Linked DNA regions of Macaca fascicularis. The protein of the gene in region 7 interacts with the protein of the main gene of each other region in a biochemical or structural test. Links are inferred from orthologs where the notes say so. Each region holds a gene or a part of one and is shown on either strand. Other genes may lie near its edges.

What was found.
Region 1: of the proteins of UBE2I (region 7) and NFKBIA, one has a biochemical effect on the other in vitro, tested with the Homo sapiens proteins (2 studies listed by BioGRID). The link is inferred for Macaca fascicularis from reciprocal best matches to the Homo sapiens genes UBE2I and NFKBIA.
Region 2: of the proteins of UBE2I (region 7) and PARP1, one has a biochemical effect on the other in vitro, tested with the Homo sapiens proteins (4 studies listed by BioGRID, with this or other methods). The link is inferred for Macaca fascicularis from reciprocal best matches to the Homo sapiens genes UBE2I and PARP1.
Region 3: the proteins of UBE2I (region 7) and ZNF451 form a complex in vitro, tested with the Homo sapiens proteins (2 studies listed by BioGRID and IntAct, with this or other methods). The link is inferred for Macaca fascicularis from reciprocal best matches to the Homo sapiens genes UBE2I and ZNF451.
Region 4: of the proteins of UBE2I (region 7) and DAXX, one has a biochemical effect on the other in vitro, tested with the Homo sapiens proteins (5 studies listed by BioGRID and IntAct, with this or other methods). The link is inferred for Macaca fascicularis from reciprocal best matches to the Homo sapiens genes UBE2I and DAXX.
Region 5: of the proteins of UBE2I (region 7) and TRPS1, one has a biochemical effect on the other in vitro, tested with the Homo sapiens proteins (2 studies listed by BioGRID). The link is inferred for Macaca fascicularis from reciprocal best matches to the Homo sapiens genes UBE2I and TRPS1.
Region 6: of the proteins of UBE2I (region 7) and PPARG, one has a biochemical effect on the other in vitro, tested with the Homo sapiens proteins (2 studies listed by BioGRID). The link is inferred for Macaca fascicularis from reciprocal best matches to the Homo sapiens genes UBE2I and PPARG.

The regions. Positions count from the first base shown.
Region 1 is NC_088381.1:103,221,237-103,225,297, forward strand, and holds the start of NFKBIA (NF-kappa-B inhibitor alpha), read right to left. Parts: upstream 2,801-4,061; 5' UTR 2,696-2,800; coding exon 2,469-2,695; intron 1,850-2,468; coding exon 1,741-1,849; intron 1,414-1,740; coding exon 1,203-1,413; intron 913-1,202; coding exon 824-912; intron 717-823; coding exon 447-716; intron 75-446; coding exon 27-74; 3' UTR 1-26. UniProt on the Homo sapiens protein: Inhibits the activity of dimeric NF-kappa-B/REL complexes by trapping REL (RELA/p65 and NFKB1/p50) dimers in the cytoplasm by masking their nuclear localization signals.
Region 2 is NC_088375.1:84,321,944-84,326,035, forward strand, and holds the start of PARP1 (poly [ADP-ribose] polymerase 1), read right to left. Parts: upstream 2,801-4,092; 5' UTR 2,633-2,800; coding exon 2,513-2,632; intron 1-2,512. UniProt on the Homo sapiens protein: Poly-ADP-ribosyltransferase that mediates poly-ADP-ribosylation of proteins and plays a key role in DNA repair.
Region 3 is NC_088378.1:114,567,704-114,571,203, forward strand, and holds part of ZNF451 (E3 SUMO-protein ligase ZNF451), read right to left. Parts: intron 2,612-3,500; coding exon 2,481-2,611; intron 985-2,480; coding exon 798-984; intron 1-797. UniProt on the Homo sapiens protein: E3 SUMO-protein ligase; has a preference for SUMO2 and SUMO3 and facilitates UBE2I/UBC9-mediated sumoylation of target proteins. Plays a role in protein SUMO2 modification in response to stress caused by DNA damage and by proteasome inhibitors (in vitro).
Region 4 is NC_088378.1:138,379,486-138,383,706, forward strand, and holds the start of DAXX (death domain-associated protein 6), read left to right. Parts: upstream 1-1,421; 5' UTR 1,422-1,466; coding exon 1,467-1,519; intron 1,520-2,387; exon of another isoform or gene 2,388-2,440; coding exon of another isoform or gene 2,441-2,457; coding exon 2,458-2,647; intron 2,648-2,797; coding exon 2,798-3,629; intron 3,630-3,773; coding exon 3,774-3,982; intron 3,983-4,137; coding exon 4,138-4,221. UniProt on the Homo sapiens protein: Transcription corepressor known to repress transcriptional potential of several sumoylated transcription factors. Down-regulates basal and activated transcription.
Region 5 is NC_088382.1:125,223,009-125,226,508, forward strand, and holds part of TRPS1 (zinc finger transcription factor Trps1), read right to left. Parts: intron 1,863-3,500; coding exon 733-1,862; intron 1-732. UniProt on the Homo sapiens protein: Transcriptional repressor. Binds specifically to GATA sequences and represses expression of GATA-regulated genes at selected sites and stages in vertebrate development. Regulates chondrocyte proliferation and differentiation.
Region 6 is NC_088376.1:150,655,337-150,658,836, reverse strand, and holds part of PPARG (peroxisome proliferator-activated receptor gamma), read right to left. Parts: intron 2,852-3,500; exon of another isoform or gene 2,768-2,851; intron 308-2,767; coding exon 80-307; intron 1-79. UniProt on the Homo sapiens protein: Nuclear receptor that binds peroxisome proliferators such as hypolipidemic drugs and fatty acids.
Region 7 is NC_088394.1:2,054,668-2,058,666, reverse strand, and holds the start of UBE2I (SUMO-conjugating enzyme UBC9), read right to left. Parts: upstream 2,801-3,999; 5' UTR 2,527-2,800; intron 2,310-2,526; exon of another isoform or gene 2,172-2,309; intron 1-2,171. UniProt on the Homo sapiens protein: Accepts the ubiquitin-like proteins SUMO1, SUMO2, SUMO3, SUMO4 and SUMO1P1/SUMO5 from the UBLE1A-UBLE1B E1 complex and catalyzes their covalent attachment to other proteins with the help of an E3 ligase such as RANBP2, CBX4 and ZNF451.

The DNA.
Region 1 (4,061 bases), on a different chromosome or scaffold from region 7:
TCCATGTTCTTTCAGCCCCTTTGCGCTCATAATGTCAGACGCTGGCCTCCAAACACACAGTCGTCATAGGGCAGCTGAAAACAAGGGGAAAGAAGACACATTAAACTTCCGAAGCTCTGCCAAGCCACTGGGATGGGGAGGCCGCTACTGGAAATAACCCTTGGACTCCATTCTCCATAGCCCAAATACAATGAACTTTACAGGCTGAGGGAGTTTGCCTTTAACTCCCATTTTAAAAATGTTTTAAAAAATGCTTTTCTTTAAAAAAGGGTAAGCTATTTAAAAAAAAAAAAAAAAGGTACATTATTGGGATACTGGTTATGCACAGAAATTTGAGAGACTCATTATGTAGATACCCCTCTGATAAGGAGCAGTTCTAGGGGCCCGGGAGGGTGAAGGGAATGGTCCCTCATTAGTTAGAGAGCCCAAGGAGTTCACAGACTCACCTCATCCTCCGTGAACTCCGTGAACTCTGACTCTGTGTCATAGCTCTCCTCATCCTCACTCTCCGGCAGCATCTGAAGGTTTTCCAGTGTCAGCTGGCCCAGCTGCTGCTGTATCCGGGTGCTTGGGCGGCCCCAGGTGAGCTGGTAGGGAGAATAGCCCTGGTAGGTAACTCTGTTGACATCAGCCCCACACTTCAACAGGAGCGACACCAGGTCAGGATTCTGCAGGTCCACTGCGAGGTGAAGGGCAGTCCGGCCGTTACAGGGCTCCTGAAACCAAAAGGAATTTGAGATGCTTATGGCTGCGTTTGGAATTTCTGCTCACAACATGAGCACGAGGAACTTGACTCAGTGCATCGGAGGCAGGAAGCACTAACCTGAGCATTGACATCAGCACCCAAGGACACCAAAAGCTCCACAATGCCCAGGTAGCCATGGATAGAGGCTAAGTGCAGACACGTGTGGCCTGGAAGAACAAAACGAAAAAAGTATAACCACCTGTTTCAACCCTCACTCCTTTCACCTATTCTTTTATGGGACAAATAGTCATATCTTCTGAATTTTAAGAACCCACCGTTTGGGTTCTGAAAGAACTTTATAAAGGCATCCAACAGGCACTTTGCACACATATTTTCTCAACCTTTCAAATGCTGGCAGTTTAAGTTCTTGCCTCGACTCCTTAAGTTGGCCCACCTGCCCCTTCTCCACATCACCTGCCACCTGAGGGGGTGGGGCAGGGCAGGGAGGCAGACATACCATTGTAGTTGGTAGCCTTCAGGATGGAGTGGAGGTGCGGGGTGGTGCAGGACTGAGTCAGGACTCCCACGCTGGCCAAGCAGCCCTGCTCACAGGCAAGGTGTAGGGGGGTATTTCCTCGAAAGTCTCGGAGCTCAGGATCACAGCCAGCTCCCAGAAGTGCCTCAGCAATTTCTGGCTGGTTGGTGATCACAGCCAAGTGGAGTGGAGTCTACGAATGCAGGAGAGACCAGAGAAAGTAAGCCAGGGACCAAACCCACACCCTGAGTTCCCCTGAACCCGTGTCTCCTGGTTGGGTGCTGCTCCTCCTAGACAGGCGGGTGGGGAGGACTGGCAAATAGCAGAGACTCCAGGTGGGTCACAAAGACCTCACCAAATCAGTGGAATTTCCTTCACTCTCTAGGATGTGGGCTGACGTGAAGTAAAAGGTGAGGGTGAATAATGCCCTGTGGCCCTGAATTCAGAAAGGATCTGGGGTGACTTTGCTACATCAGTTCCATCCCAGAGTTAGAGAGCCCGGGCCAGGCAAGCGGCGCACCTGCTGCAGGTTGTTCTGGAAGTTGAGGAAGGCCAGGTCTCCCTTCACCTGGCGGATCACTTCCATGGTCAGTGCCTTTTCTTCATGGATGATGGCCAAGTGCAGAAACCTGTGGGGAAGAGAGGGAAAAACCCCAGGGGTGGTGAGTGCACCGCGTGGGGCCCAGGGAGGCGCGGGCTGCGGGGGATTGCGCAAGGCCGGGGTTTCTGGAGGCCGAGGCCGCGGTGTTTTCCGCGAGGTTATTATGAGCTGAGTGTTCCTGGCAGGCGCCCAGGGACTTTCCGCCCCCCTCCCCCCGCGGCCCCGGCGGGCGCCGGCCAGACCGCCCCGCCCTCCCGCCAGCTCGGAACGCCCTGTACTTCCCCTCCCGGCTGCTCGGCGCCCGCCAGCGGCCAGAAACTCCCGCCCCGCCTTATGCAACCGGGGACTTCGCGTCCCAGCTGCCGCCCCGCCCCCGGCCTAGAGGACAGGCCTGGGGGGAGGGGGCGTGTGGCGACGCTGCCGTCCACCAGGGCCCAGCCGCCGCCCCTCCGAGTCGGGCCGGTGCCCCGCGCGGCCCTGCAGCCCTGCAGCGTTCGGGGCGGTGCAGGAGCCCCGGGGCGCCGCGGCGCCAGCCCGGCTGCATCGCTAGTTCCCCAGCTCGGGCTCCAGGCCCGGCGCCTCCCACTCCCCGGCCGCGCGCATCCGGCCCTCCCGAGGACCCCCGGCTCCGGGTCTGCGCCACTTACGAGTCCCCGTCCTCGGTGAGCTGCTGCTTCCAGGGCTCCGCGCCGCGCGGCACCTCCTGCGGCTCGAGGCGGATCTCCTGCAGCTCCTTGACCATCTGCTCGTACTCCTCATCCTTCATGGAGTCCAGACCGCTGTCGTGGCGGTCGTCCAGCAGTCGTTCCTTCTTCAGCCCGTCGCGGGGACCCTCCATGGCCCACTCCTGGGGGCGCTCGGCCGCCTGGAACATGGCGCGGGCGAGCTGCGGGCGCTGCTGCGGGTGCGCTGGGCCGCGGGCTGCGCGCTGCTTCCTCGCTGGGGCGCTGGCGGGCGGGACGGCGGCACGGGCTGGTGTGGGCTCTGCAGCGCCGCCGCGGCGCCCTATAAACGCTGGCTGGGGATTTCTCTGGGGCGGGGTCAGGCGCGGGGAATTTCCAAGCCAGTCAGACCAGAAAAGAGAACTGGCTTCGTCCTTTGCTAGGGGGAAAAAGAAGCCTAAACCCTGAGCTGGGGTTCGTCGGAGAAACTCCCTGCGATGAGCCACTGGGGTCACGGACAGGGAACTTTTTGATGAGTGCCAAGTGGCTGGAAAGTCCTTCCGACCAGGCCCCCTTCCCCGCGGTACTTCCCTGCAGCCTGCACCCTGTAATCCTGTCTCTCTGCAAGTGAACCTTCTTTCCCTGGGGTTTCCCACGATCGATTTGAATTGGGGTCGTCGGCGGCTGAGATCCCAAGGACGCCGACCTGATGGGCGGTCCCTCTTTGGGGTTTGCCAACCTGCCGGTCCTTTCCGTTTTTTGATCTTTTGAAAACGCAAGAGTGGAAATGATGGCTGGGCGTAGGGATTTGCTTTCCCCAGACTTCTAAGGGGAAGGACGCACTGTGGTTATGGGGCTGCAGGCTGCTCTTGTGTTTCTGCTAATATCAGGCTCATTGCAGCACGGGGACGTTTAGCTTCGCGCCCTTCCTCCCCTACCCCCCACGCACCTCTGCCAGGTAGAACTGTGAAAGCTTTGGAGGAGTGGAAAGCCTAAATCCTTGGAAAACTCTCAAATCACTTCCAATCACTTCCTAGGGATGAACAGCCTTGTTGAGTGGGGGAGGGGCAAACTCTCCCTGTATGGGGAAACTGCTGAATAGGACCATGATTTTTTTTTTTTCCCCCAAGTAAAGCAAGGTGTTAATCTTTGTAGTGGTGGTTGTGGATACCTTGCAATAACAGAGTAGCTATTGTGTTCATAAGTAGCTGTTGCATTCATGCTATCTGACCTACATTGTGCTGCCGCAGAGAATGGATCCTGAGCCTACTTCTGGGCATCTAAACTGAGCAATTCGAGGAGCACTTAGAGAAGGAGGCTGAAGAATGAGTTTAGTTAGTGCCTTAACCGCGATTGGACCTTAAGGACCGCTAAGAAAGTAGTTGCCAGTCATCCTGCAGGAGGCTCAAGGCAGCCCCATCCTCCCATCCTGCCCACCCCGCCTTGCTCCCTCGTCCTGGGGGATAGTAGCAGTTGGACCCATTCATGCCACCCAGGTAGAAAGGGGTTTTGGCTCACTATGCTCTGATTTCACCTGCAGAAATGTAATTTATGCTCTCCATCCCACCTCCACCTCCA
Region 2 (4,092 bases), on a different chromosome or scaffold from region 7:
TTTTCAGACAGGGTCTGGGTCTGTCGCCCAGGCTGGAGTACAGTGGCATTATCTCGGTTCGCTGCAACCTCCACCTCCCAGGCTCAAGCAATCTTCCAGCTTCAGCCTCCAGAGTAGCTGGGACATAAAGGCATGAACCACCACGCCCCGCTAATCACTGCATTTTTTTTGTAGAGATGAGGTTTCAGCATGTTGGCCAGGTTGGTCTTGAACCGCTGAGCTTAAGTGATCTGCCCACCCAAGCATCCCAAAGCGCTGAGATTACAAGCGTGTGCCACCGAGCCTGGCCCCAGAATGTTAAACTTGATCAGGTTCAGCTTCCTCCATCCTGCCTCCCCAACAGCTAACTAAGCCTCCTCTAACTTCCTCCACAGCGGTGTTGTTCTAGCCTCAACACACTGCCTGAACTTGGGTTTTCTGTCTTTCCACTAGAACACGGTACTCTGCCCACCTGTTACGGCCCGTGGATGTCCCTTTCTCGGAATAACATTTAAAAATGCATAATAAAAAGGCTCGCAAATGGTCAGTCATGGTGGCTCACGCCTGTAATCCTAGCACTTTACAGGGCTAAGGTGGGTGGATCACTTGAGCTGAGGAGTTTGAGACCAGCCTGGGCAACATAGTGAGACCCCATCTCAAAAAACAAAACAAAAAAGTTCAAAAAGGAAACATACTCAAATAATTATCAAAACATTTGAAAGGTAATTTGCGTACAGTAACCCGTGAGCTTCAAAGTTTTAAATAACAAGATCTAGTACTGCCTCTAACAACTGTGATTTTTATAGCAATGAGAGTAAATTATATTTTGAGAAACTCCCAACTGTAAAGTGAAAATATCTGTAATTACCGCTGGTGAAAAAAATCATAGGGACTGCTAATATGCCTTTGCTTTGCTGCTTACATTTATGATTAGAGGAAATAATGAATTTTATCTATAGGTTAGTGGAGATGGAGATATCAATTTTTTCTTATCTAAACCCATGGACCTCTTGCATTCTATCTACCATCCTACGGACCCTGGGGTTAAGAGCTCCTGCACCAGGAGTGAGAACTTCATTAGAACAGGCTGCCTTATATATTTAAGGTAAGTTCTAGGTTCCTTAGTGGGAAACACGGCTCTTCAAATTGTAGGCCCTGTCTACTTCCCTATCCTCATCTTTCTGCTCCACTTCTGTGAATTAACGACTCCTAATCAACCTTCCACCCTAAGGTGGGTCATCTTGGACTCCTAGGCACACAATGCCTGGAGCACAGTTCCATCAGGTGGCATCCATCCCCTCTGTACGGCAATGTTTGTTTACCAGTCAATTCCCGTTTAACCAAACTGGAAATTCCCAAAGGTGGATTCTGTGTCCTTAAAACCTAACAGAGTGCTTAGAACTTAACAAATATCTACCAAATAAGCACTGTGTGCCACGTACTGACTTAGGTATGCCCCAAGGACACCGAGATGACAGACATATTGTGAAATAAGATAACGGAAGTACACCTGGCACTTGGGTATCCACTCGGTAAATGTCGCCCTCCCTTGTACTCTTTAAGTCCTGAAAATCCACTGAGGGCTATCTGGTCATTCCTAAAACACATTACAGCTCATGGTAGGGAGGAAAATCAAGCTACCTTGACCATGAGCACTAAGCTTGGGTAATGTGTTGGAAGCGAGGAGGAACAGGGCAGGTGAGAACCAGAATTATTCATACAAAGGCAGACATCAGCAAACTGGAAGCTGGAGGCAGGAGCCCCTGGGAAATGACAGGGGCCTTCAAGCCCACCACCTCACAGAAGCCTCAGGAAATCTCAAAAGGGGATCGATCCTCAATCTATCAAAAAGCCCACATGAGAAACCCCCCTGGAGCCACTCTTACTCAAACCAGACAGCTGCAAGTGCACCGAGAACGCGTCTGTGAACCTGGAAAATTTGGGGAAAATGTTATTTTAAAGCACAGATTAGGCTCAAAGTGAATGCACTGTACAGAAATGACACCTCTCTGCATAGTTTTGCCTAATTAAAATGAAAAATGAGGGTGAGCGTTAAAATGACGTGTTGAAATGACGGCCAAAAATAGGTTAAAAAAAAAAAATCCCCACATGCCAGTCGCCACCATCCACGTAGGACAAAAATCTTCCAGAACAAGATAGGTCAAAATCAGATTAGCTTAAAGAGACCATGTACAATTCCCCCCCACCCCCAATCCCTGAGGCGAACGGCAATAATAAAACACCACCACCAAGAAAGGAGGAGAGAAGCGGCTTCTCGTTTACACAAAGCGAAAGGCAGCACCAGCTGCAGACTGTATTTCCCGGGCTTTTCCTGCAACATCAGCAAAACCTTCCGGAAGGGTCGGCCGGGCCGCTCGGCGGAGGAGAGGCGGCCACGGCCCCACAGGCCCTAAGTGCCGTTCCGAGAGCCCAGGTCCGCTCGCTCCCCGGGCCCGCACTCCCCGAGCCTTCCCGGACACAGTTAACCCGGGGCGCCGCGTACCCGCCCCGCCGCCCGCACAGCGGCCCGCACCTGCACCATGATGGCCATCCGGAGCGAGTCCTTGGGGATGCTCTCGCTGCATTTCTTGCAAGAGGCGCGCCCGCTCTTGGCGTACTCGACTCGGTAGAGCTTATCCGAAGACTCCGCCATCTCCCCTAGCTGCAGCCAAAGCTCCGGGAGCCCGACGCCACGACCTGGAAACACGCCGCCGCCTCGCCGCCTAGCCGCCCCGCGTGCGCTCACCCAGCCGCAGGCGCCTGAGCGTCCAGAGCCGCCACCGAGCACACCGCACCGGCCACCGCGGTTCCCCGATAGATTGCTGATGCCTGGCAGCGGAAACGCCCACGGAGCCCACGTCCACGGGGCGGGGCCTGCGGCGCTCGCGCCCCCTGCCGGCCGGGGGGCGGAGTTTCCCGGGCTCCTGCGGGTGGAGCTCTACGGCCCGCTACCCTGTGGGCCGAGGCGGGGCTTGGACTGAGCTAGTAGCTCTTTGGAGGACCCGGCGCCACCCCTTTGATCGTTCTGTCCCAGGAAGTCTTACCTGTTTTCATAACTAATTATACCCCCAACCCCTCCACCTTTTATTTTTGAGACTGAGTCTCACTGCGCTGGAGTGCAGCGGCGCGATCATGGCTCACTGCAGTCTGGAACTCCTGAGCCCAGCGATCCTCCCACCTCAGCCTCCCAAGTAGCTGGGACTACAGGCGTGCACCACCACAACTGGCTAATAAAAAAAAAAAATTGTTTTTTTAGGGATAGAGTCTCGCCAAGTTGGCTAGACTGGTCTCAAACTCCTGGCTATAAGTGATCTTCGAGCCTCAGCCTTCTAAAGTGCTGGGGTCACAGGAGTGAACTACCAAGCCAGCCCCAAACTCTTTTTATAAGTGTGTCCTCTCTCCCCTGAGGGCAGCTGGGTCCGGGAATAGCAGGCCCCCCTAGGGAATATAGTTGATCGGCCCTAGGTGGACCCTGCAGTGTTAGGTCAACCCCCCTGGCTTGGACGGGCATTCCAACCTGCCATCCATACACCGTCGGGACAAAATACCAACTGAAACCTAGCATTTCCTTTATTATGAATTTGACTACAAATCCCAGGAGTATTAGAAGTACCTGTGACTTTGTGGGCAATAGTCATCACAGATGTTTTCATGTTACTTTACAGTTATTTTGGTGATAACTCAAAATATTATTAAGCTCATCACTACTCAAAATTGTGGTAATGACTAGACCTGTTGCTACCAGATATTTTCTCTCTCTCTCTCTCTCTCTGTGTGTGTGTATAAAGAAAGAGATGGGGCATCTCTCCATGTTGCCCAGGCTGGTCTTGAACCCCTGGCCTCAAGCAATCCTCCTACCTTGGCCTCCCAAAGTGCTGGGATTACAGGGATGAGCCACTGCAGCTGGCCTAGATCATGTTGTTTAATATGGAACTATACTTTAAAATACAGTTGATTAAAATTGGTTTCTTTTCTAATCCTATGCTTTTTTTTTTTTTTCATTTCAAAGATTGTAACATGAGTGTGCTGCATTTGAAAATATTCAATTCTGGTGTAGAGGATAAGAAAAATAAGTGGATGAATAAAACTCATAAAAAGTGTTAACCATAGAGA
Region 3 (3,500 bases), on a different chromosome or scaffold from region 7:
AAATGCCAAAAAGCCACTATTTTTCATTAAGGTAATTCATTAATATCTTCAAACCTTATTCATGAATTTAAATTATTAGCCTATTTAAACATTAATTATTCTATCCATATTTCTTCAGAGATTACGAAAAAGAGAGGTATAGCTCAGTGGTAGAACATTTGACTGCAGAAATTATGAAAAATGAAAAACAAAACTTCTGAATCCTTAGAATTACATCTTTTCTTATGTACTAGGAAGTGAAAATGGACATCAGCACTCCTTTCATTGAATAATCTCACAAAGGTACAGAAGAAAGTGCAAGGCCCAGCAATAAGATAGGATGTACCCACTTCTCTAAGGACCTAAAAGCCTAACAGCATTTCATTTTGTCACTGTCAACCTCCTAAATGATCGCCTTTTTTATTGCTTTCCTGTTTTCAACTGTAAACACACTGCTTTCTAAAAGACTGAAGGTCAATTTGGAATTTCAGGAACAAAGTGAAGATGTGAATTCTGAGCTCTTAAAATTGTAGTAACATACTATAACGCATGAATATATATTTTATATACATCAATAGAGATTTTATCTACTAGATCAAAAAAAGGCTCCAGAAAATTATTATGAATTCATCCTCCTCCTAAAACACTAAAGAATGAAAGTGAGATTTAAAAAAAAAAGAGAAGTAAGATAGAAGTAAGAGAACATGATGGTTTAGTAAGCAGGCAACAGTTCACTAGCGGACAGCAGTTTATTGGTTTCTCTCAGCAGTGAAGTCTCCTCCTCTTGGGTGGTTTGCACTGTGACTGCAGCTGCGTACCTTTGGTGGTATCAGATATGCTATTTAACAAGGCACACATCATATCTCCCTCTAAGTGGTGAGGGTTTAGTATATGAGCTGGCCTCTGAGTCTTCTTAAATTGATTCTCTAGCTCCAGAAAACCTTGATCTCCTGAGAGGATGGTGAAAGGAATTTGCTTGGGTAGTTGTTCATCTAGACGGCCAGCCTAAGTTAGAACAAATGGCACAGGTTGATAAAAAATCAGCACGAGTTTCAAAACAAGTTATATCTATTCACAATGAACACATACCTAGGAAGGTATATTAAGCTTGTTCCCTAATCCCTACCAAAGTATGACACAAAGATCTCCTTCGGCTGGGTGAGTGACTCACGCCTGTAATCCCAACACTTTGAGAGGCTGAGGCAGGTGGATCGCTTGAGGTCAGGAGTTCAAGACCAGCCTGGCCAACATGGTGAAACCCGGTCTCTATTACAAAATGCAAAAATTAGCTGAGTGTGGTGGCATGTGCTTATAATCCCAAGCTGGATTCTCCAGGCTGAGGCTGGAGAATCGTTTGAACTTGAGAGGTAGAAGTTGCAGCCGAGATTGCGCCACTGCCCTCCAGCCTGGGCGACAGAGTGAGACTCCGTCTCAAAAAGAAAAAAAAAAAAGAAACAGAGAGAAAGACTTCCTTCATAAATTAAATACCCCACATTTAATCAAATATAAGATGCTATTAAATTATATGATAAGCTATTTTATGTGCCATAAAAAGAAAAAGCCAAAATGGAAGTCCAACAGACTTCACATAAAGTTGGAATACCAATGGGCTATACACTCAATGTAAGGGTAAATAAGAAATAAATCTGTCATAGAGAAAAGGTAAGCAAGGCAATTTGCATGATTCAATCTTGGCACTAGATAGAGGGAAAAAGAAATCTTTTGTTGTTTAAACCATAAGCTGTAGTCAACAAGTTTGCCGAGTAAATTCACATTATCAGTGTGACATGTAAGTCCTCAAGCAAAAAATGTAAAGTGGGTCTCAGTTTGGCAGTTTCTCTAGGTACCTGGCAGAGGCAGAAGCAAATGTAAATTCTATCTAGGCCAACAGTGATTGTTAAGGTACCTCTTAATTTTAGAGATACTAAAATATGAAAATGTCTTAATATATATCAAATACAGTATCATCAGCGGGTGCAGTGGCTCACACCTGTAATCCCAGCACTTTGGGAGGCCTAGGCGGGCGGATCACTTCAGGCCAGGAGTTTGAGACTAGCCTGGCTAACAGGGAGAAACCCCATCTACTGAAAATACAAATATTAGCCGAGCATGGTGGTATGCTCCTGTAGTCCCAGCTACTTGGGAGGCTGAGGCACAACAATCGTTAGAGCCCAGGGGGCTGAGGTTGCAGTGAGCTGAGATTGCGCCACTGTACTCCAGCCTGGGCAACAGAGCGACACTGTCTTAAAACCAAAAAACAGTATCATCTCTTGATCATTTATCCCACAAATAGTTGAGTATCTACCATGGATAGCTGAAGGTTTGCTAGAAGTTGAGGATAAAGCAATAAAAATATGCTATGGGGTCCTGCCTTCATAATAGTCACAGGTAGAACCTGAAGTACTGAAGAATGGTCTATAACTCTCATTACAATTCAAGTGGGAAAAAAATGCAAGTGGGTGTGAGATTCACATTAGATTTTGAATAAAACAATGACTCACATGCATACATATGGCAAAATCAGCAGCATCTTTTCTTTTACTACAGCGAGGATGAAGGAAGAAGCATCCAATCCTGTTCAGGTAATTATAAATTTTACAGTTGAGTGGAGGCTTCCAATTGGTGTTTCCTCCTATTAATTTCAGAAAAAGCAAAAATGATAATCAAACAGGAGAGGAAAGGCCAAAAATTTTATCAAGAAAAAACATATACTAGAAAAAAAATTTTCTAGAGGCAAAGTACTAAATCAGAATGTGGAAGAACTCCATCCGAGCATAAGCATCAACATCTTGTTGCTGTACAGTCTTGAGAAAGTGGACTAAATTCCCTGAATCTGTCAACTCATCTTAAAACTCACATGGATATTAAGCAAAATCAAAAGTAATGTGTGCAAAAATTCTTTGAATGGCATTATTCTGTAAGTGTAAGCATAAGTGGTTTTTACAAATGTCATCACTGTTCAATGCAGAAATGATGGGCAATCACCAAAGCTCAACTTACTAAAGCAATTATACTGGCTAACTTATCCAGGTCAGCATGTTTCTATCTTTAATCCCAATCTTTCTCTTTACATGCTATTTTCTATCAAACACGAACAACAGCAGATGCTCACTATACTAATCCTCTGTAAACCAAAGAAGCCTCTCCCCCAGGTTTGGTCAACAATTTGTAAAGAGGTTTAGATGAAGCTGAACACTTAAGAACAGCAGGATGAACCGAAGAGGCAGTTATGACATGTTGAAAATGACATTAGTCCTGTAGTTGAAAGGCCAAATTTCAAAAGCTAACTCTGCTATTTATTAGTTTTAAAACTTTGAGGGAAAAAAACAAAAACAAAAACAAAACATCTGCTTCTCTGTATTTTAAAAGGGATAAAACCATAATAATCAGTAACCATATTAGTACAAAGCCATAGTGCCTGACACACTTTAGGTGTTGAATAAAGGCTTTTTCAATCAGTATCAAAAGATCCATGAACTGTTTCTTTTTTTTTTTTTTTTTTTTGAGACGGAGTCTCGCTC
Region 4 (4,221 bases), on a different chromosome or scaffold from region 7:
TTTCTTAAGAGGGTGTCTCTATTGTAAAAGGAGAAGTGAAGAATGAGAACCTGTACTGCAGGTGTTTCCTTAGGAAGACCAATTTTGGGAAAGTTGAGGTTCTGGAAATTAAATCCCTTACATCTCCCAAGTTCCAGTCCTCGCGGAGGTTTTTTATGTTCCCCATTTTGAAAGCTGTAGACTTTGACGACTGGAGAGAAGTGATGTGGGATTGTTCAATGGACGGGTGTTTGCGATTCTATGACTCAGCGTTAGGGATGTAGTAAATTCTGTGAACCTAGTTAAGCGGCAAGATGCCCACCACTTGTGGAAATGGGAATCTTTGCGATTGGGACCTTGTTAATCTTTCTGGTTTCCTCATAAGCTCACCTCTGGACCCAGCCTTGCCTCCACGACTCCCTCCAACCTCCCTAAACTCAACGAGGTGGGTATCAAGTCTGTTTCTTCATCCTTCATTCTTTTTTAACCTCTCCCAGAAGAGGAGGAGGAAACCCAAAGTATTTTATGAGCCTCATTTCGTTTCACAGCAGCCCTTGCAGAGGCTCAAACTCTCCTCCAAGCCCCACCCCATCATCGCCCATCCGCAGACCCTGGGCCTCCACGACAAAGCACGGCCTCACAGTCAGCACCGACGGCCCTTCGAGGACCCCCTCTGGAGGAGAACCATTCAGGTCCCAACCGTCTGGTCATTAGTTCTGTGGTGAAGCTTGAAAAGCAAATCAGCAACAATAGTAATAATAATAACACTTTTGTATGGCGCATTGTGCTTATTTGTACGCATGTGTTATAACGACTGTGGGACGCAGCACCTGGCAGTAGAAGCAGCTGCTGGACAGCGGCAAGGAGCGCGCCGCCCTTGCAGGGGAAGGGGCTGGGTCAGCCGAATAAGCCGTGGAAATGGGAACCTGGGGGACAGGAAAGCAGGGCCAGATAGCTTGCCAATAGCCTAGTTGAAGATAAAGGTTTTACTTCCCTTTTAAGAGACTTCTGCCATTCCCTGAAACCCTACGCAGCTTTGGAAAGCCCAATTCCTAAACCACCCTGTTCGGTTCCCCTGCCCCTCCTTGGAAAGGAGGCTCCGTTCTCCCCACGCGCTACTCGCCGGCGGTTGGACCCCAGGGAGGAAGTTTCTGATTGGCGGAGTCAGAGAAGCACCGGGTGAAAAGAGCTCCTCCGGCTGCGCACCGAAGTTCTGGCGTAGCCAGCGCCGTACGGCAAAATGGCGGCCCCCAGCTGCTTTGGGACGCCCGGGTTCGGGGAGACAAACTCCGACCTGGAAGACCGCGCTGACTATGTGGGCGGCACTGGAGGTGTTCGCGGGGCGGGCCTACGGCCGCTTCCGGCCACAGGAAGCCTTGTTCCGTACGACAATATGGCGGCGCTTAGTTGCATGCAGGCGGAAACTCTGTTGCTTCCGGTCCGTAGTGGGGCCTGCGGTGGGAGTGGGAAGGAAGGCGGAGGGAACCATGCGAGGTTCTGAGATCTGCGGCGAGGGTCGCCTCGAGAGACGGTTTCTGAGGTGGGGGCCGGATGGTGCGGGGATCAGAGGCGGGGGCGGGGATATCGAGGCAGAGGTATTGGGGAGAGCCGGGCTCTGAGTCTGAGGGGAAAACTGTGGTACCTTCCTATCCCTGAAAGGGAGTGGGGCGGCCGGGGGCTGAACTGGGGGAGGGGGATTTGGCGGGAAGCGCATCTACCGGACCGGCCGGACCCAGGGTTGGGATCTAAGAGGAATCGGGAGAGCGTAGCGCGGTGCGGGGGGACTTCTAATTAGTTACAGGTCTCCGAGAGAATGGGGAAAATTAGGGTGGGGTGAAAGGGAGGGGACTTGGGTAAAATATCTTCAACCTAAAGGCCCAGTTTGAGGAGACTCATCTGAGGGTGAAATACGGAGATAATTCAAGGAGGGGAAAAGAGAACGGACTGTTGGGAGGGAACCTCTTTCACCTCAGAGAGTCTAGGAGTTGGGGTGATCAGGATGGGGCGGGTGTGGGGTTGACTTGTTTGAGGGCAGAGGGGGCAAACACATGAGGTGGCGCCCACAGGAGTGTGTTGTCTGTGCCAGGGGGTGTCAGGACGATTTAGGGTGCAGTGTGGGAGAAAGAACCAACTTGCCAACTCTGAGAAAGAGTGGGGAAATGCAACAGAAAGACCGGAAATCGACGTGAGGGGTGGAGCAGAAGGTGGCAACTTAAGGTGTGGGGGGGTTTGCCCCCCCCACACACCACTTGAAGGGCCCGAAAAGCATATAGAACTAATGGTTATTGAAATCAGGTGGTGAAGACAGTGTTGGTCAGGGCTGAAACCCAAGGAGTTCAGAAAATGCGTGAGGTGAAGGGATGGGGCTATGCTGGAGGGGCTCATTCTGAGGCCCCATCCCCTTCCAGCAGGAATTCTGAAATCCCCACCACTTCCTCCTTCCGGGGGATTTGATTCCCCCATGGCCACCGCTAACAGCATCATTGTGCTGGATGATGATGACGAAGATGAAGCAGCTGCTCAGCCAGGGCCCTCCCACCCACTCCCCAGTACAGCCTCACCAGGGGCAGAAGCCCCTAGCTCTTCTGAGCCTCATGGGGCCAGAGGAAGCAGTAGTTCGGGCGGCAAGAAGTGCTACAAGCTGGAGAATGAGAAGCTGTTCCAAGAGGTGAGCTTTAGCGGGGAAGATCGTTGTACCCCAGGGAGGGGGATGGCTGACTGGCTCTCCTGTCCTTTCTTCCCCACTAACCCCACTCCCCTTTCTCTCAACCCCCTCCCTTGTCTCTCTTCCCCTTCCTTCTTCCCCTGAACCTTCTAGTTCCTTGAACTTTGTAAGACGCAGACAGCGGACCACCCTGAGGTGGTCCCATTCCTCTCTAACCGGCAGCAACGTGCCCACTCTCTGTTTTTGGCCTCGGCGGAGTTCTGCAACATCCTCTCTCGGGTCCTATCTCGGGCCCAGAGCCGGCCATCTAAGCTCTATGTCTACATCAATGAGCTCTGCACTGTTCTCAAGGCCCACTCAGCCAAAAAGAAGCTGAACTTGGCCCCTGCTGCCACCACGTCCAATGAGCCCTCTGGGAATAACCCTCCCACACACCTCTCCTTGGACCCCACAAACGCTGAAAACACTGCCTCTCAGGCCCCAAGGACCCGTGGTTCCCGGCGGCAGATCCAGCGCTTGGAGCAGCTGCTGGCGCTCTATGTGGCAGAGATCCGGCGGCTGCAGGAAAAGGAGTTGGATCTCTCAGAATTGGATGACCCAGACTCCACATACCTGCAGGAGGCACGGTTGAAGCGTAAGCTGATCCGCCTCTTTGGGCGACTATGTGAGCTGAAAGACTGCTCTTCACTGACCGGCCGTGTCATAGAGCAGCGCATCACCTACCGTGGCACCCGCTACCCAGAGGTTAACAGGCGCATTGAGCGGCTCATCAACAAGCCAGGGCCTGATACCTTCCCTGACTATGGGGATGTGCTTCGGGCAGTAGAGAAGGCAGCTGCCCGACACAGCCTTGGCCTCCCCCGACAGCAGCTCCAGCTCATGGCTCAGGATGCCTTCCGAGATGTGGGCATCAGGTTACAGGAACGACGTCACCTCGATCTCATCTACAACTTTGGCTGCCACCTCACAGATGACTATAGGCCAGGTAGGGGGTTAGTGGGATGCCTCTCAGTGACCCTTATATGTCAGGTATGAGGCGGATGGGGCATCTCTCTAGTCCTTTCTAGGGTTTGTACTCTTCTAGTCCCTTCCACGGCTGAGTGCTCTGACTTTATATTTTCCCACGTAGGCATTGACCCTGCACTATCAGATCCTGTGTTGGCCCGGCGCCTTCGGGAAAACCGGAGTTTGGCCATGAGTCGGCTGGATGAGGTCATCTCCAAATATGCAATGTTGCAAGACAAAAGTGAGGAGGGCGAGAGAAAAAAGAGAAGAGCTCGGCTCCAAGGCACCTCTTCCCACTCTGAAGACACCCCCGCCTCCTTGGATTCTGGTGAGGTGTGGATGGGGTAAAGCCTTCAGAGAGACATTGTCCTTCCCCTGCACTGGCCACCAGGGAGTCCAGGTTGACTGATGGGGGAGCATGAGAAGGAATGCAAGAACCAAACCCTCTAGGGCAAGGGATTCCTTAGAGAAACTTCTTTGTCCCCCAGGGCCCTAGTGGAATGGCATCCCAGGGGTGCCCTTCTGCCTCCAAAGCTGAGACAGATGACGAAGAAGATGAAGAGAGTGATGAG
Region 5 (3,500 bases), on a different chromosome or scaffold from region 7:
ACATATCCTATACTTATCTCTAGATATTATAAAAGATTAACTGGGAAAGTTAATGTTTATAAAGAGAATAGAGTGAAAGCAGAAGGAAAACACAAACATCCCACATCCATTTAAGAATCTGGAATAACTCAAGCAGTTTTACCTACTTGGAGGAGCAAGTCTACATCCAAAATCACACATATTACAAAAATTCTCACCTTTAGATTACTGTTTATATGCCAAACAAGGATGCTGCAGAATTGTTCAAAGCTAGAAGAATATATAATCTCATTTTAAAATAAAAATGAGCAACAGGTTCTCAAAATTTTTTCTCAGAATAGAGAATAGGATATATTACAATAGTAACTTTCATTTGGGAGTTGCCCTGTCAAAGAAATATAGGATGTGGAGTCATATTTAGTAAGGACAAATAAATGGACTATGATAAATTAGTAAACTCATCAGCATTATTAGAATCACTGTGAATTTAAAAAGACAATCAGTAAATGGTATAAAACAAGTATCAAACATGAGCATACAGTCCAAAAGAAGGAACCAAATTAAAGTCTACAGTGATCACAGCTATAACTATACCACCTGCAAATCTGTGATGATCTTTTATGTGGTCTTCTCCTATAACTTCCCCAAGTCATCGGAATCACTCCCAACAATTCCTGGTTCAGCCCTCTTTCTGTGGATTTTTTCTATTATTTTATTTGTATATTCCTCCTGACCTACCCCCCTTTGACTCACCTGTAGTGTCGGGAAATCTCTTCTTCCACCTGGGTAATAAAATCACATTTGGTACATGAGTGTTCTTTGCTTTCCTTGACAGCCTGCTGCCCATCCGATCCTTGCAGGTGATTCGCTTCTTGTTTGACATCTGATGCTTGGGACTCATGCACACCCTCATAGTGAAAGAGGAGTACATCTACGTCAGGGGTGGTGAATGAACACTGATGGCACTGATGCTTGACTCGTGAGCTTCCGGCTGCCCCAGGAGACAAGTGCAGAAGCAAGAGTGCACAGTGGGAACAATTACTTTTTCTACAAGCAAACGGATAAGTAATTTCTCCAAGGTGCTTTTCTGGGCTGCAAAGTCCTCTGGGACAGAATGGACAGTGTTTAATGGTACACTTGTGAATGTTATGGAGCTGTTGATAATGACGGAGAAGAGGCCCCACTACAATTACATCAGGGCCATGGCTTTTGGAATATCGGAAGTCACAGAACTGACAATTATAGCTCGTTACCATATTATCCTCGGCTCCCTTGCTGGAGAAGTCCTTCTTTTTAGCCCCACTCGAGCTCTTGTCTGCCTTGCTCATTGTCTCTCCTTCTGAACTTTTGGCTAGATCATTCTGATTAATGACAGAGCCCCTGGAAAGCTTATCATTCAACTCTGGATTAAGGCCGCCTGACTGCACTGCTCCGTGCTGCTTGCCATAATGTTCTAGCAGTTTAAGTGAGCTAGATGACTCACAGCTGAAACTACAAAATTTACACCAGTAGTAACTGGTGGCCTCTGTACCATTTTGTCTCGAGGAATCGAGGGGCTTGATGGGCACTGAGTACCCAACAGGAGTGTCATCTCCTGCTTTGACTGTTATCTTGTCCTGCCATTTTCCCAAGTCTCCAGAATCACTGGATCGAAGTGCCGGGATGGACTTGTTAGAGTTTTTCTCTGAAGGTTTTGCAACCTCAGAGGAGGGGAGAGAAGCTTTTATTTTGTTTGGGTGAGTCTGAAGAAAATGTTGTTCTAATTCGGTGGACGAGTTGCCCATATAAGTGAAATTGCAGAATTTACAGCGGAAATACTTGGTGTTTCCTTGGCAATCTGGTGTTTTCCGTCCAATGCCAATGAATGTTCCACCTGAAGTCACCTGGAGAAAAGAAGAAATGGACTTTACTTCTGAGGTGTCTTTAATTCAATGGGTCCTCTGCAGGGGAGGGGGAGGGTACTGCCAAGTATTCCACATCAAAAAATACAATAGTACTCCTGCTTATTATGAAATCACTTGAATAATCACAGAGCCAAATAAATTCACTCTTCATTTCTCAACAGTTACTCTTTGAGAGGCTCATTATGTTATACACTGTAGGCCAAAGTAACAGGTGAGGGTAAGTAATAAATGTACCATAATTTGAAAGACTGAATAATACATTTTTTAAACTAAGAAAACAATTTTCAACACAGTACGTTTTACTATTGCCTCCTTCAAATCACACTCCTACAGAAGCATCCTAATCACATGGGATTTCTTTTCAAAAGGTGAGGCGTTACTGTCAAAACTAGAGGCACTTGCTCAAAAAGTACTCAAGGCAGATATTCTCCAATGAAATATTCTGTTCAGTTCCTACAGCAATGAGGCTGCAGGCAAAGATGAGGTCTCTGTTTTAGGTAAAATACAGGTGCTCAAATGACCACCCAAAATGGCTTATAATTAAAGCTCAGTGAAACAAACAAACAAAAAGATGAATTGAGTATGCAGGAAATACTAGTGAAGAAGAACCATGTAAATAAAGAATTTTGAATGTTTCCCAATCTAGAACAAACAAACAAAAAAGAAAAATCTTCCAGGGCCTTATTTGATTACGGTTCTGTTTCATTGCAAAGGGCTCCCAACTTCTCACATGAGTAGGTCATGGAGATGTTTGAATGGCAAAATGAAATAATTCCACCATAAAAATAACTACAGCTCTGCTTTCTTTCCCAAATTATGAAATTACATGGAATCAGGACTATGAAAGCCTTCAAAGGGCACTTTACGTAAAATCCTTCCTCCATTCTCAGTGTGTATCTCAACAGGAGTACAATTAAGCCACCACTGAGCAGCCAAAATTCAGAGTTTAAAATAGAGTTTTTGAATGAAATACTCCAAAAAGGGGGGAAAAAATTCTCTTCCAACCACCAAGGAATTTTTAAATTTTCCCAGCAACCAGATGTAATATATTAAGCAAGTGGCATAATCATGTTCTGCCTTCTTCAACAGCTGTTCAAAAATGACACGTGTGATTGCTGTTCATATCCAAATCACTCCATGAGAAAAGTCTCAGGCATCTCAAAATCATGTAAAGGCTCTATTTGAAATGCAAATAGTATTGCTGTAGTACACTGAGAGATATGTTTGTACCTCTATTGTACAGGACTAAGATTGAAGTATTCTTTTTGCTATTAAAAAGAGATGTGACCGTGATCAAGTTACTTAACCTCTCTGGCCAATAGCTTCTTCAACTGGGGCAACCTCTAAATTCATATCCAGTATTATAGTTCTAAGAAATGTGCATTAATACATAAACAACTCAACGTTTACTGTACATTAAGATAGGAACTTACAAAAGTTTCCCACAGCCTTTAATCAAAGGATGTAATGTTTCGCATTAGGCAATGTCTATAGCCACCACCCCAATCGCATAGATTTCAGTCTGTCGATGACAGAGTATCAACCAGCCAGAAAGCTAAGAATGGGGCACCCTTCCAGGCAGCAAACCGACAATCATTCAATGGTGTGAGAGATTTC
Region 6 (3,500 bases), on a different chromosome or scaffold from region 7:
CACTATTTACTACAGGGTTACTGAGAGATAAGTCCAATTCCAGTCTTAGTAGTCTGAAAAGTGAAAATAAACATCATACTTTGGTACTCTTGAAGTTTCAGGTCATACTTATAATCCGCAACCATCGGATCTGTTCTTGTGAATGGAATGTCTTCATAATGTGGAGCAGAAATGCTGGAGAAGTCAACAGTAGTGAAGGGCTTGATGTCAAAGGAGTGGGAGTGGTCGTCCATTACGGAGAGATCCACGGAGCTGATCCCAAAGTTGGTGGGCCAGAATGGCATCTCTGTGTCAACCATGGTAATTTCTGAAAGGAAAAGTAGACTAGCTGTGAAGTTAAGTCCCAGAGAACACAACAATCTCACAGAGTTTCAGAAAGAGAAATGAAAGAGTCTTTGGCAAAGTAATCTCATCTAGGCTCTCACAACAAGAGAAAAGAACATAACCACCTTCTTAGTGCTGTCCAGGCTGTTTTATGATAGAAAGGAAGTCACCCTTTACCCAGGTATCATAATAAGAGAATCCTGAAACAGTGCAGACACATACAGTGTATCCATATAAACGCCTTGCCAACAGTCCTGCTCTCATTATCTTCTACAGAAGGTCATCAATTGAGTCTGTTAATGACTGCTGTTATTTAAAATTTTGTTCAGTTTTACTGAAGTATAATAGACAAAAATTTTTAAACTTAAGGTATACAGGCCAGGCACAGTGGCTCACACCTGTAATCCCAGCACTTTGGGAGGTCAAGGCAGGAGGATCACCTGAGGTCAGGAGTTCCAGACCAGCCTGGCCAACATGGCGAAACCTCATCTCTACTAAAAATACAAAAATTGGCCGGGTGTGGTAGCATGCCTGTAATCCCAGCTACTCGGGAGACTGAGACAGGAGAATCACTTGAACCTGGGAGGCAGAGGTGGCAGTGAGGTGAGATCACACCACTGCACTCCAGCCTAGGAGGCAGAGCAAGACTCCATCTCAAGAAAACCCCAAACCCAACCAAACCAAACCAAAACAAAAAACAAAAAACAACACACACCCACAAAAACTTAAGGTATTCAATGTGATGTTTTAATACATGTATTTACTATGAAATGATTTATCATACTCAAGATCACTTCAGACAGTTACCTTTTTGAGTATGAATATGTACAGTGAGAACACTTAAGATCTACTGTCTTAGCAAATTTCAAATATACCATACAGCATCACCAACTACAGTCACCACGCTGAAGGTGACCTATACTTAGGTCTCCAGCACTTATCCTGCATAACTGAAACTCTGGCTGACATCTCCCCATTGCTCTCGCCCTCCAGCCCCTGGCAAACACCATTTTACTCTCTGCTTTCATGAGTTCGACTTTTTTAGATTCCACGTGTTAAGTGAGATCATGTGGTATTTGTCTTTCTGTGTCAAACACTACCCAGTTTAATTATCTTAGCATAATGTCCTCTAGGTTCATCTCTGTTGTTGCAAATGACAGGATTTCCTTCTTTTTTTAAGGTTGAATAATATTCTACTGTGTGTGTACATATATATCTTTATGTGTATATACGTATGTGTGTGTATATATATTATATATGCATATATATACTGTGTTTTCAAAAATCCATTCATCCATTGACACTTAGGCTGATTTCACATCTTGGCTATTGCAAATAATGCTGTAGTGAACATGGGAGAGCAGACAGCTCTTCAACATCCTGATTCCATTTCACTTGGATATATACCCAGAAGTAGGATTGCTGGATCATATGCTAGTTCTATTTTTAATTTTTTGAGGCAGTCCATTCTGTTTTCCATAATGACTATACCAATTTATGTTCCTGTGAACAGTGTGCAAGGGTTCCCTCTTATCCACATCCTTGCCAACACTTCTTACCGTCTGTGTTTTTGATAACACCCATTCTAATGGGTGTGAGATGATATCTCACTGTTTTTGATTTGCATTTCCCTGATGATTAGTGATGGTGAGTACCTTTTCATATATCTGTTGGCCACTTGTATGTCTTCTTTCTAGAAATGGATATTCAGGTCCTTCATCATTTTTTTAACTGGGTTATTTGTTTTCTTGCTATTGAGTTTGTTGAGTTTCTTATATATTTTGGAATATTAACTCCATATCAGATGTACGATTTGCAATCCATAACTCCATATCAGATGTACAGATTTCCCTATTCTGTAGGCTGACTTTTCACTTTATTGATTATTTCCTTTGCTGTGAAGAAGTTTCTAGTTTGATGCAATCTATTAATGATTGTTTTTAAAGTGTGCACAGGGTTCCAGGACAATTTTACTCTCTTGAAAGTAGAAGCCCAAAATATTTTTCTCTTTAGGATGAAATTTTTCCTATTCTACTTGTATTCATATGCTTTTGTGTAATAGAAAAGTTGGCAAATTAAATATAGGTAAATGAACTTCTTCTTTACTTGCATCCTAAAATAATTTTGTTCTTAATAATACAAAAATAAAAAAATTTTAAGGGGAAAATTACTCAATTATTATTTCTGTACTATAAAATATTACTCAAATAATTATCTTTTCTGTGGATACACCTTTTCTTAAAGAGGAGAAAGTTTTCCCCACATTGAGAATAGAAAGGTTAGAGAGATTTGTGGAAACATTTGATCACACCTGGGAGTGTCAAAATCAGACTCTAGCCCAGCATGGATTTTAAACCACCCCCAAAACAAAAACAAAACAAAACAGAGACAGAAACAAGAAAACACATCAAAGACAAAGGAAAGGCCGGGCGTGGTGGCTCACGCTTGTAATCCCAGCACTTTGGGAGGCCGAGGTGGGTGGATCACGAGGTCAGGAGATCGACACCATGGTGAAACCCAGTCTCTACTAAAAAAAAAAAAAAAAAAAAAAAATTAGCCAGGTGTGGTGGTGGGCGCTTGTAGTCCCAGCTACTCGGAGAGGCTGAGGCAGGAGAATGGCGTGAACCATGAACCTGGGAGACGGAGCTTGCAGTGAGCGGAGATTGCGCCACTGTACTCCAGCCTGGGTGACAGAGCGAGACTCCGTCTCAAAAAAAAAAAAAAACAAAAAAAACAAAGGAAAAATACTTATACAGATTCTAAGGCCATGGAATAGCAAGTTTCATGAATCATCTGCCCAATATCATATATGCCACATGCATTTTTCTAAACATGATTTATTGTCACAGTAAGTGCAACAAAACTCTTTTGGTTCACTTCATGTGAACTTGTGAGCCACCGAGTGTGTAGACTGGAAAACTTTCTGCAATAGGTACCTGGACTCTGTTTACCTGAAACCAGTTCATTATTCAAAGTGGTACCAAAAAGCAGTGATAAGTATTTTAAATGTTAACCCTGTGGTCAAAAACACCAGTAGAGAGCTGTGTAAATTTAGGACTGCTCACACTGGAGACAGAAAGGAGCTGCTCATAAACTCCAGGACTCCTCAAATCACAGGTGTATCTTTCTTGTTTGCAGTCATATCCCCATTGGCTAACAAAGGGCTTGTTTCATAG
Region 7 (3,999 bases):
GTGTCTCCACCCTCCACTTCCACATGGAGCAGCTCAGTTGTGGCTTGAGGACTCACAGCTCTCGCTTCCCCAGCCCCAGGGTGGGCTTCATGAGTAGCCACAGCCTGTGCCTGGTGCGGTGCAAAGCAGCCTGGTGAACGGCCGTTTTGAGGAGCCACGACCTCCCAGGTGCCCGGGGTCTGAGCGGGGCCAGGAATCAAGCAGGTCTCTGAAGCCCCAGGCCAGTGCTCCAGACACTGAAGGACCATGGCCAACACGATCCTCACAGCCAGGCAAGGCCAGGCCCCAGAGAGGCCAGCCCCAGAGAGGCCAGCCAGGCCTGGGACCCTGCCACAGGTAGCCCTCCTACTGAAGACCGGACAGAGCCACCTAGAGGCCCCCGTCCCAGCACCTAGCTATTGCTGTCTCAGATGTGAGAAGTCGTGAGGGTGCTCCTGTGAGACCTCCCGCCAAGGTCTGGCTGATGCTGCTGTATCCCCTGCCCCAAAGCACTCAGCACCACGGGGTGGTCTCACAGGAAACTGCACCACAGGGCAAGGAGCCACAGGTGCACACCCACCCTGTCCTAGGCAGAAGCCAGGCCCCTCCCCCTGCTCCCCCTCCTACTGGCCTCCTGGAGAAAGTGGCCAATGTGTTACAATGTAATCACAACACAGACGAAGCATTCAAAATCCCGCTGAAAATCGAATTTGCCCTTCCAAATTAACAGATAAGCACTAAGTGAATGGCTAGCAGTTACTAGACCCTTCAGAGCAGGGAACTTATATGAGGCAAAGACAAAAACAACCCTCATCTATCAGAGCCAAGCAAGGCCCAGACACTGCAGCAACCAGGACAGGGCCAAGCACTCCAGGAGTGGCCTGAAGGTCTGCCTTCTGTCCTGCTGGGCACCCGCGACCGGCTGAGCTTTAGCTTCTCGGATCACCACCTTGCTCTGCTGGTTGACAGCACCGACTTCCGAGCAACTTCCTGGCTGAAGGTGAGCAAAGCACTCACCTCTCACAACTCCACCGCACTCATCTCCACAACGGGTGGTCGCCACGACGGCTGGCACAAGAAGCCTGTAAAGGTCCTCCTGCACCCAAACGCAAACTCTCCCAGGCTTGGGGAGGTATTCCCTTCTGCAAGACCCAGGCACCTGCAGTCAGGAGACGCTCACCTGGCCGCACCTGATCTGCCCCAGGCCCCCAGAATGTTTCTGAAGCAAGATCCCAAACCCTGACACATCACACAAGCGCACACCTTCAACCACCCAGTGGTCTAGGGAAGGGACCTCTGAAGGAGCAATCAGGACAAACTCAGGTCCCGTCCTGTCTTCCGCTGCGCAGCTTCTCTACCCAAACGCAATGTTTCTTGTTCTTCAAAAAACATTCGGCGTAGGTCCTATAAAAGGAAACAAACCGAACTCCCCAAAGACAGGCACTTTGCAAACAGAGAAACAAAGCGTAACTTCCAATTATAAAAACGAAACCACTTCATTCTGCGATTCAAGCGTGACTACAGGCCACGATCACAAGCCCAGCTAATCACTCCCTTACCTTCCTCCCACGCACGTTAACTACCAGAGCCAACCACTATTCAACCGGTAAAAACCCATCCCCAAAACAATAAAACTCCCTCCAGCGAGGCGCTCACGTTCAGGGCCCCAGCAAGCGCCAGGGCAGCATCTTCAGAGGCGCAGGAAAACTTAAGACTTGTTTTGGTTTCAAGGCACCGAAAACAAGCCCGCTCGCCGGCCCCCACCCCCGCGAGCCAGCGGTGTTGCAATCCAAGAGTCTCCCCCGCGACCCATCCCCTCCGTCCGCGGGGCGACAGTGACCCCGGAAGCCGCTCCCCGCGCAGAAGGAAGGCGCGGCCTCGCGGGGCCCCGGCTGCAGGTGGCTGCCCCGGCCCCGCGCCAGGAGCACCTCGGGGGCGAAGTGGGGGAGCCCCGGCCCCCAAGGCCTGCGGCGGCCGGGGCGCTCGGGCCGCAGCCCCGCGGCGCCAGCAGCGCGGACCGAACCGGCGCCGAGCGTGGGGCCTCTCGGGCTCCCCGGGAAGCTCGGCCGCGGCGCGGGGCCCGGCTCGGCGGGGCGGGGCGCGGGGCAGCCGGGGGCCCGGGCCCGACAGGAGTAGAGGCCTCGGCCCGACCCCCGCCCCGCGGCCCCGGCCCGGCCCCCGCCCGCGCTCACCTCGGGCGGCCGCGGCCCCGGCGAGCGTCGCGGACAGGTGGAAGACCGAGCGGGGCGGCGGCGGCGGCGCTTCCCTTTGTCTCGGGACTTCCCTCCGGAGCCCGCTCCGCGCGCAGCCCGAGCAGCTCCGAGGACCCTGGCGCGGGCGGGGCGCGCGGGGCGGGGCCTGGTGCAGGGCTGCCCTCTGCACGCCTGCCTCGCGCGCTGCCACCGCCGCCCGGCCCCGAGCACCGCCCGCGCCGCCGCGCGCCCCCCGCTGCCCGTGCCCCGCCGCCGCGCGCCCGCGCCCCGGGTCCGCCCCAGGAGCCCGGCCGGGGGGGTGACTTTTCAGTCAGGCGGCGCCCTGGACACCTACGCCCTTAAAGGAGCCGCGTCCCCGATGTGAGGGAGCGTCTGTAAACTCCCCTTCGGGGTGCCCGCGTCCACCCGAGGACACGCCGGCGAGCAGCGGGGGATAAAGGAGGCCGAGATCTCCAAAAGCTCCCCGGATGCCCGGCGGTCACCTCTCCAGGCACAGGTCTCCGAGGTTTCCTTGGGGTCAGAGCCTGGGGCCGGGGGGCAAAGACCACTGAGGCCTAAGGATTCCCAGAAGCGTCGCAGGACGGTGACGCTCCCGCGAGTTCAGCGCCCTGTGAAACCTCTTGCAATTGGCCATTTCTGGGCGGTGGGCGGAGAGACCTTCTCATCTGCCCAATGAGCCGACCCCGTACAAAAGGCCGAAAGCGAGCATGACCGACGGGAGGAGAAGTGTGGATGCTCCCTAATCCGGGGGCGGGCCCTGGGCGGGGGCGGGGCGTGGGGAGACTACGAGCGGCGGGGGCGGGGCGAGCCCTTGGGGGAGGGGCGCTTCCGGGCAACAGCCCCCCACCCCCCGCCCACGCAACTCCCGAGACCGGTCGAGAGGCCCCCAGCCCCGCGAGCGCGCGGGATACTCCGTTCGCCAACGCGCGGTCGTGCTGGCCCCGGGGCTCTCCCGGTCCCCCCGCCCCCCATTTCGCCGACGGCGGGGCCGCCGCCAAGGTCACGGTGTCCGGGTGCTTGGGGACCGCGGGGACTGACCACATTCATTCATTCCCTCCCTCATTCATTCATTCCCTCCCCCACTCACTCATTCCCTCTCTCCCTCATTCCCTGCCTGACTCATTCATTCAATCCCTCCATCACTCAATCATTCCTTCCCTCCCTCACTCATTCCCACCCTCATTCATTCCCGCCCTCATTCATTCCCGCCCTCATTCCCTTTCGCACTCATTCCCTCCCTTACTGCTTCATTCATTCCTTCTCTCCCTCACTCATTCCCTCCTTCATTAATTCCCACCCTCCCTCATTCCCTCCATCATTCATTCCTTCCCTCCCTCACTCATTTCCTCCCTCATTCATTTGTTCCTTCTCTCCCTTACTCATTCCCTCCCTCACTCATTCATTCCTCCCTCCCTCATTCCCTCCCTCACTCATTCATTCCCTCCCTCACTCATTCCCTCCCTCACTCATTTCCTCCCTCGTTCATTCGTTCCTTCTCTCCCTTACTCATTCCCTCCCTCACTCATTCATTCCCTCCCTCCCTCATTCCCTCCCTCACTCATTCATTCCCTCCCTCACTCATTCATTCCCTCCCTCACTCATTCCCTCCCTCCCTCACTCATTCCCTCCCTCCTTCACTCATTCCCTCCCTCCTTCACTCATTCCCTCCCTCCCTCCCTCATTCCCTCCCTCCCTCATTCCCTCCCTCACTCATTCATTCCCTTCCTCACTCATTCCCTCCCTCACTCATTTCCTCCCTCCTTCACTCATTCCCTCCCTCACTCACTCATTCCCTCCCTCCTTCACT